Caenorhabditis elegans: one gene and its partner. The gene in region 2 interacts genetically with the main gene of each other region. Each region holds a gene or a part of one and is shown on either strand. Other genes may lie near its edges.

Region 1 (7,651 bases), on a different chromosome or scaffold from region 2:
CTCCTCTGTTGTTGTTGTGTTAGACTCGGTTAGAACACAATGAGGAGACACCTGAGAGTCTTTGAGAATGGAAGAAGGTGCTTGCACTTCAACTTCTCCCGAAATTGATATTCGAGAAGAAGAAGAAGAAGATCATCTATGCTCTTGTGTTCTCCAATTATTTGTAGAAATTTCGAGTTAGAATTTGTACCGTTTCGAATTTAAGACGAATCTTTCAGCTTAGCTTTCTGGCTTGTGAAAACTTTCAAAGTTTTGCATGCTCGCCCTCTAGATTTGAAAGCCTTAATTTAGTTAAAGCATTTGCTAACGTAGTAATTAGGAAAAATAAACTTTGAACATGAATTCATTTTTTCCGATGGTAACCCATGAAATCTACAGTACCTATAGAGATAGTCCAGACCTCCTTAAAAAATTTGAATTTTCTTTGAGCTGTCGCCTTGAATATGTTAAATATGTTCAAACTATTCAATCATTTCGTGTCAATTTTGAATATAATTCAAAACTTTTTGAATGTTTCCTTCTCCAAAATCTCCCGCCCTTTAGCAATCCCCCATTGCTTAATCCGATCTTTTGAACACCTTATTCTACGTCTCTCACTCTATTTTCATTTCAACTTGTTCTCATTTTTGAATAGACAAACTTCCGGAGAGAACGATTACGAATTCTTCAAAACTTCTTGTTTATCCTTCACATTTCAATGGTCCCATTCATACCCTTCGTACCTATGGGTGCCAGAGCTCTTCACACCCTTCTGTTGGCTCAAATCACCATTTTCCTATTTTTCTTCTCTTGGTTCATCCACCCATTGTTGTCGTTGTTGACGTCTAAAGAGGAAGAAGGAAGAAAGAATATTTCTAATTAGAGGTATCCCTCCAGATGTGCCATCTTTTTGGCACATTGGAATCAAGTACAACAAGCGGTCCTAGCTAATCAGATTTCTCTTGTTCCAACTATATGAGCATATGCTAATTTTCTTCATTTTCTCTAGAGTTTTGTTCCAAGTTGTTTTGCAAAATAGGAAATTAAAGTTTAAGAAAGTTCCAGCATAACGGTGAAGACAACTCAAAACCCGATCTGCCCGTATTTTGATTATTAGGACTTTCACATCTAATAGACTCCTATCAAAACTTTCTTTTGATAACTGTACCATACTATAAATTTTTAGATTGTATTGAAAATTTGACACACATAGATTTTTATTTAGCATAGAAGCTTCTGAGTGATTGAAATGCGACTAAACTTTAGTTTTTTGGGAATATTTTTAGTACTACAACATTTCCAGCATGCCTATTCAAAAACAATTCCCACCAACAGAATTCCGTACCAACTCAACTCAATTTCCAATTTTCTTCTCCTACGGCTACTTGTTGTCCATTTTGATTATAATCGTCTATTTCTCTCATAGCTCCTTGTGCTCAACGCCTAATCCTCTTCTCTGCTTCCAACAGCAGCATAAACAAATTTTCACACTCAAGGACCCGCTTCTTGAAATTTCTCTCTTCTACATTCGGTGAACACAATTCTGAAGCAGCACGAGCAGGAGCATGCACTTACTTTCAAATTCTATAATAATCATTTTGCGTTTCTCTTTTTATCCGATTTACGCTCTCAGGGATGAATGCTCCAGTGTATCTAGGATTTTGAGAAACATATACAAAATTAGCTCATGCTGAAGGTTTCGAAATATCTACTGCAGATCACACATGTTTTAGGAACATACATTTTGGCCAATTTGTTTATATCTACCGTATCATTTCTAATAAAATTATTGTAATCATTTACACGTTCTGAAAGTTTTTTAATCGACCTGAAAATATTTGTTCACATAGTCGAAAGGTTTGGAAACCTGCCCATGAATTTACGAACGTTCATTGGACTTTCTGGACATGTGACAATTTTTCAATAATTTAATTAGAAGATCCATGATCTCATATTTTGTGCAATATATAAATGTTTTCTCTGAAATTTAGCTGTTCTTCTTCGAATGGGACTCTCCCAGAATTCCCGTTTGAAATTCCATTCAGAACATCAACAGGAAGCATATCATTTGGTTTTCTCACGTTATTTCCGGAGTTTGTTTTGGACCTTGATTTTCAAGTATAAATTGGGATTTGGTTTCTAGTATTAAAATGACAAAGTGAAATATTAGAAAAAATATTTGGAAATAAAATCATGCAATTAAACATTTTAAGAACACCATTTTAAAAATTTTACAGTTGAGTTTTTTGATGGGTGAAACACCTAAATTTTTGACAAACTTTCGTCATAATTCCACTTTCTTACTTTTAAAATAAGTGACAATCTAGTGTATATCCAGCTGTGTCAGGAAACTCAATTATTTTCCAAATTGCTTTATAAGCCTTATTAGACAGGTGTGAAAACCCGTGTATTACTAAAATTGCATGAAAGAATGCTCATCTTTTCTTCTCTAAATCTCTTTTTCATTCAATTTTCTTCCATTTTTCATCACCAACTCTTTCTTCTAACTCATTGCTTCACAACTCTTCGTGCTCCTGCTCATTTCTCAGTCATCCATCACATTTATTTTACATGCAAAATGAGTGGAAAAGCGCATCAAAATGTGTACTACTAATATGAAAATGACTTTTTTCCCGTCTCTTTTTGTACTTCATCCTCAATTCATTTCGATTTGAGAAAAAAAGTTTCATTGGTGGTCCTGAAAGTTGTCATCTAATGAAAAAGACCTGCGTCTCTTCTGGAAATGAATTCAGAATTAGAAGAGAGAAAAGTTGTCGAATTCATGACTTAAGAAAACTGAAATTCTATACTTTTTCTTAAATTTCCTCTCAAATTCTCATGATAAATTCTGCGATTTCTGAAATCTCACCTGCCATTTCTCAACTTTTTTTTTAGCCGGCTTAAGCTTTATACTTCAATTCAACTTTTGCTTCACTGAACTTTATGAATTTCTGTTTTTTTAAAGTAATATTTGAATTACCTTTTTTTATGTTACTGGTGCTGAAATTCTCGATTCGAATAAATTTTTGAACTCTGTATATTACCATCTCGTTCCATTTTTTAATTTTTATACCCTAAATCTTGAATATTCCAGAAATGTCTCCCCGACCAGAAGACGACGATCTCGTGATAGAACCAGCCGACGATGAGGGTCTTCACTACGGAAATGCATCGTGAGTATTACTGTCTTTTGATACGATAATTATAGTAATTAGATACGGGTGGTAGAAACTGTAGCTGCCTATTTTGGCAACAAACGGTTCGGTTATTTACTATCAGATTAAATGAATATGGGTCAAATACAAGTAGTTTATTAGATTGCCTCAAAAACACAAAATGCTTAAATCTAGTGAGTCTATAGATGTACAGTTTGCTGACTACAAAAATTTTTAACGACCTCTAAAATGCGCGTCCACCTCTTGGCGTATAAAATATAAACTTTAAAAGCATTTAATCAGTTCATATAGATTTTCATATATGTTCATATAGATCAGTTCATATAGATTTTCAAAAAATGTATTTAAAATAAACCCAATTACTTCTTGATTTCTGAATAAAACCATATGGTTACCGCCATCCGTTCCCACATTCATCAAGCTCGCCCGATGAGTATTATGCAGTATGTGATCTTCACCGTTAGAATCTTGATTATAAAAATAATGTTCAATGGGAAATTTTTCTGCAATTCTCCCTCCACCCAACTTATTATCTTCATTCAAAATCTTGAAAACTTCCGTCGTGTCGACTTCCCATTTTTCATCTTTTTGACAAGTTTGCAACTTGCGATTAGTTTTAGCGCAATTTTTATTAGATTTTGAGTTAAATTAATTGCTAAAGGGGTCAACTTCGAAAGTGATTTATTTCAAATTTTTGTGAATTTTAAGTAGCTAATACTTTGTCAATATCAAAAATCAAATCGTTATGAAAATAATTTTTGGCTCGATTTTTGCCTAAGTTATTTTAACTTGTTAAAAAAATTGACAAACTTTATATAGTGCTTTTAGGCAAAACGTGGGCAGAAGCTGAAACTCGCTCAATTTTTTCCATTTTTCGAGCAATACTTGGATATGGTCTCAGTCAAGTGTTACAAATTTTTTCGCCAGTTTTGTATTTTTAAGAGAAAAGTTGTGTAATATTTTGGTGCCAAATGCCGATATCTCACATTTTTGATGAATTTTGGTAATTAGATATAACATCACGATCCAAAATTTTCCGTTAGCACCCATTCTTTTGGAAATTTCAATTATTATTTTTTCATCCATATTTTGTACCACTATAGAGCATCAAAATGTCATTCCGGATGCGGAAATTGGGTTAACTGACACAAGCTCATTTCCCTCAAACAAACGGAGTGACATGCCCATATAATGGATGACCATTCTCCCACCTCTTCTGTTCTACATATTGCATAATCCACTTGACACCTATATACATCCACCAACACCCGGACGTCTTCCTCCTCTTTCACCCATACAACGGACCACCCCCACCCTAACCGTGACCATCTCCTCTCTCTCTCTCTTTCCCTAATATCTGACAAAACGGACTGACCTCTGCCTTCTTTCCTACTGTCAGTCATCCCCTGTGTCTCTGCGTCTCATTGAATCAGTATACTATTTCTCGGGGATTCTGTCGAATGGGCCCTCCCCGCCAAACGCGCTCCGCACATTCATCCGACGGATGGACTACTCGATTTATAATTTATTGGCCTTGTAATGATGACACATCGTAAAAAAGAAGTTAATTTATCACTATTTATTAGTTTCTTTTTCTAATTAATTTATAACTTTCGAATCATTTTTGAACGGTTTTTAGTGATTAGAAAACAGTTTGATTCCAATATTAAGGTCTTATTACTAATCTATAATAGGCATTTTAATACTAGCTTGATTTAGTCTGCTTAATCCTAAATATCGTTCAGTCAATCCGCACTTCTCCTCCCCGGAAATGAAATATTCCTAAACTTGAATTAGCTGAATTTATCTTGAATTTTTATTTTGGTTTCTAGGTTTAGTGTACTAAAATCCTGGAGATAGTTTTAAACAATCTTACGGTTTTTAACAAACCTCCATATTTTGCCATTTGGAGAACTATTCTTTAAGTGCGCAAGATTTGTTTCCACAACTTTTAACTAAATTCTAAATTATTTTTATATCTTCAGCCTCACATGTAGAAAAATTTGTCAAAACTTACTTTTTTATATTCGTTATCAAATCTCTTATTTTTCTTCTTCTCTTATCACCGATTCCATTAATTTGACCTGACAGCCGAGCATGCGTTCCACATCTTTTACGTCATCTATCTATTACCATTCCATCTTCTTCCCGTATTCCAAAACTCCCTTCACACCTTTTGTCTATACTTGTTTCCCAGGCTCTGTCAGTATATTTGCAATTGGATCAATATCCTATTACTCCTGAATAGGCTAATGGAACTCGCATTTCGATGCGAATAATAGTCATTTAGGTGGGCTATTATTACTGACTAGTGAGTCTCGTGTTCAGGTTTAGATGAAATTTTGTTTTGAGGCAAGGTTATACCTGATAGAGCATTTTTGATTTCGAAATTATTTTGCTCAGACTGAACTATTTCCATTTCTTTCAATGGGTGGCAAACTGCAGTTAGTCAATTCACAGTCAACTTTCTTCAGGCACAGAAAAATTGAGTGATTTTTTAAATTTTCATATTAACAATTCCACCAATTGCAAGTACACCCAACAACCGAAAGTGATTGTAAGATCAAAACATTGGGTTGAAAAGTGTTTGTATCTATCTCGGTCTCTTCTTCTGTAGTAAATTGTGCCTAACACACTGTTTCAATGTTTGTGATCCACTTTCCAATTCCGTTCTCATCATCATGTTTATCCTTGTCGGTAGTCGGCTTTTACTGGCTCTCTGTAGAGACTGTGATGATCTTTTATAGGAATTTGTGATTTGTTTGGACAACTTGGAAGTCAATTTTTTAAACTTATACTCCCTAGAAAGATTATTTTCAGAAACTTCTTAGTGTAATTTTTCTTATGTTTCTATTATAGTTGCCCAAAAAATTTCAACACCAAAAAACTACATTGCTTGATTCCAAATTTGAAAATTCGAAATACAAGTCACATACACACTCTCAAATTTGGCACCATGAGCCCATTCTCCATCTCTCTGTGACTCTTCGAATTTCCCCATGTTCTTTAGTTCATTGCAACTCCATCAATCTTCATCATTATTTCAACTATTTACGCGCCCCCAAGTCTCGCACACACACGGACAACTTTCGTGATTTAGTGAGTGAGCACAGGGTCCCTTTGGTGGTAGAAGAAGAAGCGAGAATGAGGAGCCAATGGTGGAGAAGGAGCAAATGTTCGATTAGTTTTGACTGATGCTCTTTTCATTGCTTCTCCTCCCTCCCAATCCATCCGACTCATTTCTCATTTATTTTCACTAGAAGTGATGGAGAGAGACCTAATTAGCTTGTACTCTTCTTCCTGCACGAGTCTTGGAAATTAAATTTGTAGCATTACTACCAATAATTTGTTCATGTTTACAAATAATTCCAAACATACAATAGTTTGTAGGTTGATGCTAGATTCAAATTTAAAAATAGAGAAATCTTTTTATTTTGCTCCGTTGCAATGATGCTCGTCTATCAATGTTTTTTATGTACTTTACCTTTTCTTGATCAATTTGTTCTAACTTTGATTACCCTCTAAAATGTTTCATTCAAACCTTTTAAGAACCAAAATTTCTAAGCAATAATCTCCACACATCTGTTTATCCCCTCTTCATCACCATTCACTGAGAACATAAGCATACAAAAAGCGTACCCTTTTCCATCACCCCGGGACCATACACACTTGATCCGATTATTCTAGGGCTCTTGAGCAGTTTTCTCCGTGTCGTCGTTGTCGATAAGTGCAAAAATCTGCTCAATCTTCGCTTGTTTGAACAATCTGTCATTTTTCGGAAGCTGGGACATGGGACAAGATTTTGAGTTTTTTTTTTGAGATGCTATACTTTGTTGTGAAATTTAATGTTTTTTTGGATTTGATCTTAAAGTTTCCACTGAAAAATTCTATTGAAACTTGCTGGGAATGCGAGTTTTTAAGGTTTCTTAGAAATAAATATATAATTGCTCCACTTTTAATTCAGAGAAGAAAACGGAGAATGTAACTTGAAGTCTAGATAGGCATTTTCTAAAAACCAGGGTGGTTATCATAATTTTTGGCGAGGTTTTCTTGGCCCTCCACCATTCATATATTTTTTTTGGATATTTGATCTTTTGTTCAGACTTGATCTACCAAATCTTTAAAATTGAGTTTTCTCGACCGCTTCTTAATTTTTTGTTTATTTCTTTGCATTTTTCTCTTTGGTCAAGAAATTGTTTAAGTAATTTTATTTATTGTTAAGTTTCTCTAAAGATTTGGGTTTTCCAATGCCAACCATCATCCTTCTAAAAAATTCTAAAGTTTAGAGCAAAACTTGAACGACTACTAGCGCTAGTACTCCAATTCTTTTCAAGTCTCCACTTATTTTAATATGAATAGAAATACAAAGTTCTCCTCTCTTTCTTCCTATTTCGGACAATTTCACTTTGAAAAGAAAAGTGTCATCTCCATCTCTCTGAGAGCACAACTATTCTCTGCAAGTTTCTCTGTAATCTCGTAAATTTATGTACTCTCTA
Region 2 (7,637 bases):
TGCTCTTGTTCTACTTGGTTTCTTATTCTTCTTGCTAATCAGTGGAATTGCTGATACTATTTTCAAATGGACAAAGAAGAAGTTAAATGGGAAGAAGATTGAGTCACAAGTCTATAAATCGTTGGAACTTGTGGATATGTCAAAGAAAAATGAAAATGCGCCTGGTGTCGGAGCATGAAAAAAAATCGATTTACTGTATATAATTTGATATCTGTCGCATTTCTTCTATTAGTCTCACTCCCGGCATTTCTTTTGAAAATTTTTCAATTTTTTATCAAACATTATTAAAATTAATAAATTTCGATATGAACTGTTCGAGTTGTAGGGAGCAGACGAATACTGGAAATATGATGTTTTATTTCTCACTTTTACAGAGTATGATCCCGGTTTTCTTTTTTGAATAATATTTTTGAATAAATATTTGTGGTATTAAAGAGGTCAAAATGTTTTTCTTCATAAATAACAAAGCGGTGATTCTTTGAAGCACTTTCTAAATAATGATGGCAAATCATAAAAAATGTCAAATACCCAAGTTTCCAACCCAAGTTTTATAGATTCATTCAAACAGTTACATAGATTGATTTATTGCCCTAAAAATTAACTCAGTCAGTTCACTATATGTTGAACAGAATCCGGAAGGATTAACATAACACGTATCTGTTGGATTACTGTAGATTAATGTATAAAGTCGAGAAAAGTTATGGTAACACTCTCTCGTGTTACATCATTGTGCACAAATAAACCGGAAGAAGAAATTGGGGTCTTAACCAACCTCATACATTTTCTGGAGTTCTAAACTTGCGAGTTTATGCATTGAAATTTCGAAGGAGCCGTACTTGAATCAAAGTATCAAATGATAGAAGTTATTATGCTCAACTTAATTTGGAGTAACACCAGTGGGAAATGAGAAAATATCATTTTCTAGTGCTAAAGCTGTTGAACATTATAATTCAAGTAAATTTCGAAATCTTAACAAATCTTAAATCTTAAGATATTCATTTCCAGTCGAAAAGTGTAGATGACTCTGTTTTTCCATATCATGATTTCGGAAGTTGGCCAGAAGAATGAAAAATGGATTTTCCATCATTTTTTAAAATTTTAATTATATTTCAAAGGCTTATATTCAAGCATTGTAAGGGTTTCTGCGACATGGCTCAAAATGTCTCAGAAAGTCATTTTGAAAAATTTGTTCAATTACCAAAACTGACTGAAAATTTAGAAAAATCTAAAAATGTTCAAAGTTAGCATGCTTGAAATCGGATTGAATTTTCAGAAAAGAGAAAAAAAACTTTTAATAAAAATTATGAAATGATCAATAAACATCTGCAACCTCTACTTTCCTAACAATGACTCAAAATTGTAATCGAATTAGCAATAAACCATCGACAAAGGTCTTCGTGTATATAAATATTGCCAGATTGTCCAATATGACGATTCCACCTGTGCAACTGGAGATTGTATAAGTGTACCTGAATCAATCAATATTCAATATCTGCCATCTTGTGCCGAAATGTTGATTCTTTTCTATTTGTTTCATATTTTCGATTTCTTTTTCTTTTTCGTTTTGTTCCATTTGGCTTCTTTTCTACTACTACGTACGTTGATAACAACATTTTTTGGGGAGGCATGCGCCCACGCTAATAATCTCACAATTTCCCACTAAAAGGTTAGTTTTGAAAACATTTTCCCATTATTTTTAGATGCATGATCAATCAGTAAAAAATCAACTAAAACACAAAATAATCATGAATGGTTGAGATAGAAGGACACAGATGATGATGCACTTGTGCAAATAAAAGTAGGAGAACAAGGTAGCCCCATTCACAATATAACGGAAATTTGAATTTTCTTCAGCAACATTTTTTTCATTTTCATAAGATTTCCTATTATCTTTTTTGTGGTAATTTTAAGATTTGACTATTTTAAAACAAAATACCACCAAAGCTGATAATTAATAACGGCCTTCTAAAAAACCAGGTTTTTATAGAGCTATTGTTAATGCCATTTTTAAATGTTTTCTTAAATGTTACACTCATTTATTAACAATATTGTTATTTTTGAAACCTTTCCTTGGCGGGTTCCCATGCCAATAAATCAAGTCAAGAGGTCTTGAGACTAATCCGTCGACGACAGTTCAAAGTTGCCGGTTGATTGTCACGTCACATGTATATGACACCACAGTAACAGACACCTGTGCTCCTGTTGGCTCATCCATCATTTCCGTGTTTTGGGAAAATAGTAGTTAATTGGTAGCAACAACTATGCGTGAATTTTTGCAACAAATTTGGTTCAGATAGCAATTAATTGTCGAGAATAAGGTTATATTTAATTGTGTGAAACAGTTAAAAAAATAATCAAAAAATGATCAAATCTGTTTGAATTCCCGCCAAAAACAAACGCCCACTTTTGAACCAATTAGCGACTTCGGAATTTCCATACTTAATCTGATTGGTTGAAGAATGGGCAGAGCGAATTGCTGATTGGCCATGCAGTTCTCGTTTTGGAGGTAATTCAAATAGAGAGATTAGAAAACACCTTGGAAAAAGCGTGTTCAATATTTTGATTTGTTTTTTTTTCTAATTCTTACTCGATGTGTTTAGTATTTTCAAGCTCTTTCAGCTTTTGAACAGGAAAAGCTATGAAAAATCTCTTCCGCCTATAAAATGGCTAAAAATCATTTATACAATCTTACAGTTGTTCCTAAATGGATAAAACCAAGATATTACTTTTTGAACAAAGCTTAGAAATTTTTTGCAAGTATTGATGTATAAAACTAAAAACTATAAAGTATCCGAATAAACAGAAATAAACAGAAATAAACAGAAATAAAACTCTAAAACTGACACACAAAGACCCAAAAGCCGCAAATCACCATACGTTCCCAGCAGTTCGTTTTCCTCATCTTGATCATTCTTCCTTCCGTTCCCACTCTCTTCTCTTCCACCTCCTCCTACTTCTACTTCATCCAACCATCTGACATCGTCGTTTCATTTTAAAATCATCTTCTCCTCCTTTTCTTTCTCGATGAAAAAAAAGTCTACTTGGTGGCCGCACCGCGACCGCAACAAGTTGGGCGGAGCCATCTGTCTCTCTCTCTTTTGTGTTCATCCTACCCCCACCCCTTCGCCCTCTCTCGTCCTTTTTACTGGGTGAAGACATAACAATAGCCACCCATTTTTTGATTGGCATTTATTTATCCTTAATTAATGATAATGCAAAAGCTACCAGGTTTGGGTTTTATTAGGTTTCGTTTATTGGTAATAATATATTCCTACAGCTCTCACGAAATATTTAAAATGTTTCGAGCCAAGTATTATAGTTTTAAGAATTGATCCTGTTTCCTTCTATTTTGCCCTTGTTTGTTAGTTGACGATGACTGTATTCCTCTTTTAGTATTGCAACTCACTACTTTACTTTGAAAGGTAATATCTCCGCTCATTTTGATGATATCAAAAACTGATTTTCTGCACAATGGAAAAAATATTTTGTCAGCTGACAATTATTATTTAGAACAAATGACAACTGAGATATAAGCTGTCAACACTAAATAACAGGGGTGCAATATTAGTACGGTCCGATCCTTTGCATTTCTATACCGTTTTACTGTCGTCAACTTTCAAACAACGAATTCACTAAATTAAATAATTCAAAACCATTTTCAGAACCTACATGATCCATATCTAAAAGCTAATTTCCTGTCTCTGTCCGCCCTATTGCTCAACAGACTTTGCTCAATTTCAAAAAATGCGGATCCCTACGATTTGTTTTTTATTTCTTCTTATCTCGTTATCAAAATCGCTTCATATTGGCTCATGTCTTGGCTTAATATGTGGAAGAAATGGTCACTGCCATGCTGGACCTGTCAATGGAACTCAAACTTCTTATTGGTGCAGGTATGTGAAGATTTTGCTTAACAATACTTAAACATTTTTTCAAATTTTAATTCAACGTAAAATAAATAATACAAATCTACACATTTTGAAAACTAATCTTAAAAATACGCAATAAATTGGGGGTAAGGAATATTCCTAGGAATTATGGGATTTCCTTTACAAAATTGTCAACTGACCAAATTTTTGTTATTTCTCTTGCTACCGTTTTGTAGTTACCGTATTTCCTCTATTATTCTTTTATTCAAGACTATTAGAGGAAATACGGCAATTCTTTTTATATCTTTGAAATTAACCGAGTTATAACTTTACAAAGTTAAGTAGCTAGGTGCAATACTAGTAAAAGAAGTACTGTAAATTATAACAAAACATTGTTTGTACCAGTAGACTATTCTTCCATAATCCATGCCCTTTTCAAACAATAATTACGTAATCCGTCTTGATTTATAGCGGCATGTGCTCTCCGTTGAGCAGCTAGCTCCTGATAAGATAGGTGATATGGTTCAAGTAGAGACACGTGTCACTTGAACAACACACCATTAATTTATAGTTGATGTTAATTAATAGGAGGACATTGTTCGCACGGGTTCCCACCATTTACGAAACTTGCGCAACAAGAGAAATGAGCGAGTAATGAGAGAAAAAACCCCACAGAGGAGACACCTGCGTCGTCCCTCGCTGTAGAAAAAACTTTCAATTTTTTTGGGAAAAAGTGAGGGAAAATATTGTAAAAACAATACTTTCAGGGTGTTATGGGAAAGTTGGAAAAAGTCGGGTTTTGGATAAATCAACTTCAGAAAAGCAATTCTCAGCCATTTTTTTCCTGCCAATTCTCGTCTCAAAGTCGAAGAAAAACCAGGCAATTAACCCGCTGAGATTCTCATTAAAATGCGAAAGAGAAGCAGCTTTTCCCCCTCCTGGTCTCGCACCGCCGCCAAAAAATCACCCAAATCGGTAGTTTATTGCCATGGGAAAACCGAAAAATACGGGAAATTGAGGGGAGAATTCTTCTTAATGACAAAAAAATACTGGTCTTCCACATTTTTCTTATCAAACAAAAAAGAATGGGGTAGGATTTATGACCAAGTTCCCAAAAGAAATGACCAATGGGGGGTTACTGTAAGATTACTGTAGCTGGTTTTGAACTCCCTATCAGATGTATTATCTGTCAAAGTTTTTCCCGAAAATTTAAATAGAAGTATAGAAAAATGTTTGCACTTTCTGAAAATTGCTTTACTTTCAATTGGCAACTTCGGAAAACTGCAACGAATGCCACTTTTACTCGGCATTTTGAGACTTTGAATGAGAAAAAGAATAGTCTTCAAAATTGCTTATCTTATCACAAATGAGGACTCAGTTGCCACCTCACAATTTTACAGCCGTGTTCCCAGTTTTGTCGGCAAAACATACTGTCGAGTGAGCCTACCATCAGTTGTCATAAAACCATAAAACAATAGGATTACGGTGCCTTTCGGCTGCACGACGTCTTTAATCTTTAACCCTAACCCTTCCCAATGTTTCAGATGCGATGAAGGATTTGGTGGTGAATATTGTGAACAACAGTGTGATGTTTCAAAATGTGGAGCCGATGAGAAATGTGTTTTTGACAAAGATTATCGGATGGAGACCTGTGTCTGTAAAGGTAAGATAATGTAATTTCGAGCTGAATAACTTATACACAACACTTCCCATTGCATCTCATTTTCCTGCAAAACCAATGAGCCAGTAGTGGTCACTTTTTTGCCCAATTCCCATAGGGACCTAAACACCCATCACTCATTTTTTTTAGCCCTCCATGGTGGCGGTGTTGCGAATGAAATGTTTTTTTGGCCCAAAATTCCAAAACTAGGGTCAGCTGCGCGCGCCCTTTTGTCGGTCATCTTTTTGACCACACCATCCATCATAAGCACATGCCTGGTGGAATTGTGGCAAACAACTGACAAAGTTGGGGGTGAATAATAATTTGAAAGTGAATAGGTGGATTTGAAAATTCAATGGAAGTTAAGAAACTAGGAATTGTATCATTTTTAAGACTAAACGAAATATTCGAAGATTAAAAAATAAGAATTTACTTACTCATTGTTAAAGCTATCACAGGTATAATAGCAATAGGCCTATAGGCAACGCGTATACAGGTCTAAATGTCTGCTTCACGCTGACTTGCCGGCCTACCGTCTAATTTTTTAAATGTTAGCTTGAACTCTGTAGTTTGCTGTAGATTGATGTTGAAAATTCAACAAAAATTGAAGACATTAGAAGATTGGAAGTTTGTGGCTACATGTGTAATTTATGCGAAACAGACGTAGGCTGCCTTGTAGGTAGCCAGGCAGGCATTTCCTCATATTTCGAAAGCTTACGAAAACTATGCTTTAAACTTTATGCGCTTACCATTCCCAACTTTCAAAAATTTTACTAATCGTTTTCCGTTAAACCATTTATGAGTATTGCTCCAAACTTCATCAATCTGTAGTTAGTAGATATTTAACAAAGTTACGGCAACCAAACACCTCAATATTTCATCATGACTCGTTTGTATCGAGGACAAATTGAAGCGCGGCCAATCTTTTTCCATTTCTCTTCAGCTCATTTGTCTTGTTGGCGGCGTTAAAAGTGACCGCGTAAGGTGCCTGATAGATAGCTCCTAGGTCATCTGCCCCTCCTAGCCTCTCTGTTTCATGCGCGCTTCTCTATTGTCGATGCGCTTCTTTTTGGCGCGATTTATGTCTGATGTTCGGTATGTGTGAAGAGGGCGGTGAATTGGGCGACGACCCGATGGCGCCTCGTGTGTGTTGCCAATTCTTGGGAAAAAGTGGGATAAATGACCTAGAAATGATGAGCAGATGATGATAGTATATAGGATTTGATGTAGCAGAAGTCTGTCGGAGAAGAAGTGGCAGACGTGGGAAAGTATACATTTGGTTATTGTACGACTAGGCTAATAAGCAAATATACAAGTGGAATGGTTACAGGGATAGATCAATTTATATATTAAAAATAACTGTCTGCTTTTGAGTTCATATGGGTAATGTAGGAGTACTGTAGTTTCTGAAAAAGTGTTTTTGTTTTTTGAAAGGATATTGGAATGAGGTTAGTGGATACATGTTGTATGTGTACTGTAGTGGTAATGCAGGATACTGTAGGGAACTGTGATTATTGTAGTACAATTATTCATTCAGATAATTATTCCAGTTCAACACAAAAATATCCTAGACTTAACTTTTTCTAATATACAGAATAATTATGATAGTAAATTTCAGATTGCGACATTAACGGAAACAGTCTACTAAAACCAAGCTGTCCATCCGGTTACGGAGGTAAGTACTTCCATATTCTAATGCAACAATAACCCGAACAAACAAGTGTAACAAACCACTAATAGCGCCCTGTAATTATCGGTTCCGATTACGTCACAGTACACTTGAGCAAACTTAACGGATTATTGATGGGCATAGTTAGTTTAACAGAGACAGGATTACTGTAGCCGTATGACTTTCCCGTCAACACCGATCATCTTCGAAATGACTCTATAATTACTGGGGGTCGTCTTCTTGACGTCTTGATAATAGAAGGTCGTGGGAAACGAATTCTGAAATGAATTCAGATTCAAAACATTCTAGGTTACGGTATACTTTTATTGGGGCTTTTGACACGTTCCACAGTAGTTGCAAACCCGAAAGGAAACCCCACTGAGACTAGGTGCTCCACCTGTTGTCGGATTGATATAATCTAAAAGATCATGACTGTTGC

The links.
Region 1: of lin-12 (region 2) and cam-1, changing one suppresses a phenotype caused by changing the other (phenotypic suppression), as found in Caenorhabditis elegans (one study listed by BioGRID).

Annotation. Positions count from the first base shown.
Region 1 is NC_003280.10:9,305,726-9,313,376, reverse strand, and holds the start of cam-1 (Tyrosine-protein kinase receptor cam-1), read left to right. Parts: upstream 1-3,072; 5' UTR 3,073-3,075; coding exon 3,076-3,152; intron 3,153-7,651.
Region 2 is NC_003281.10:9,067,496-9,075,132, reverse strand, and holds the start of lin-12 (lin-12/Notch intracellular domain), read left to right. Parts: upstream 1-3,660; 5' UTR 3,661-3,744; coding exon 3,745-3,893; intron 3,894-5,413; coding exon 5,414-5,532; intron 5,533-7,147; coding exon 7,148-7,204; intron 7,205-7,637. Other genes in the region: F02A9.7 (CX domain-containing protein), read left to right, coding at 1-178. UniProt on the Caenorhabditis elegans protein: Essential signaling protein which has a major role in many developmental processes; involved in cell fate decisions that require cell-cell interactions. Probable membrane-bound receptor for putative ligands lag-2, apx-1, dsl-1 and osm-11.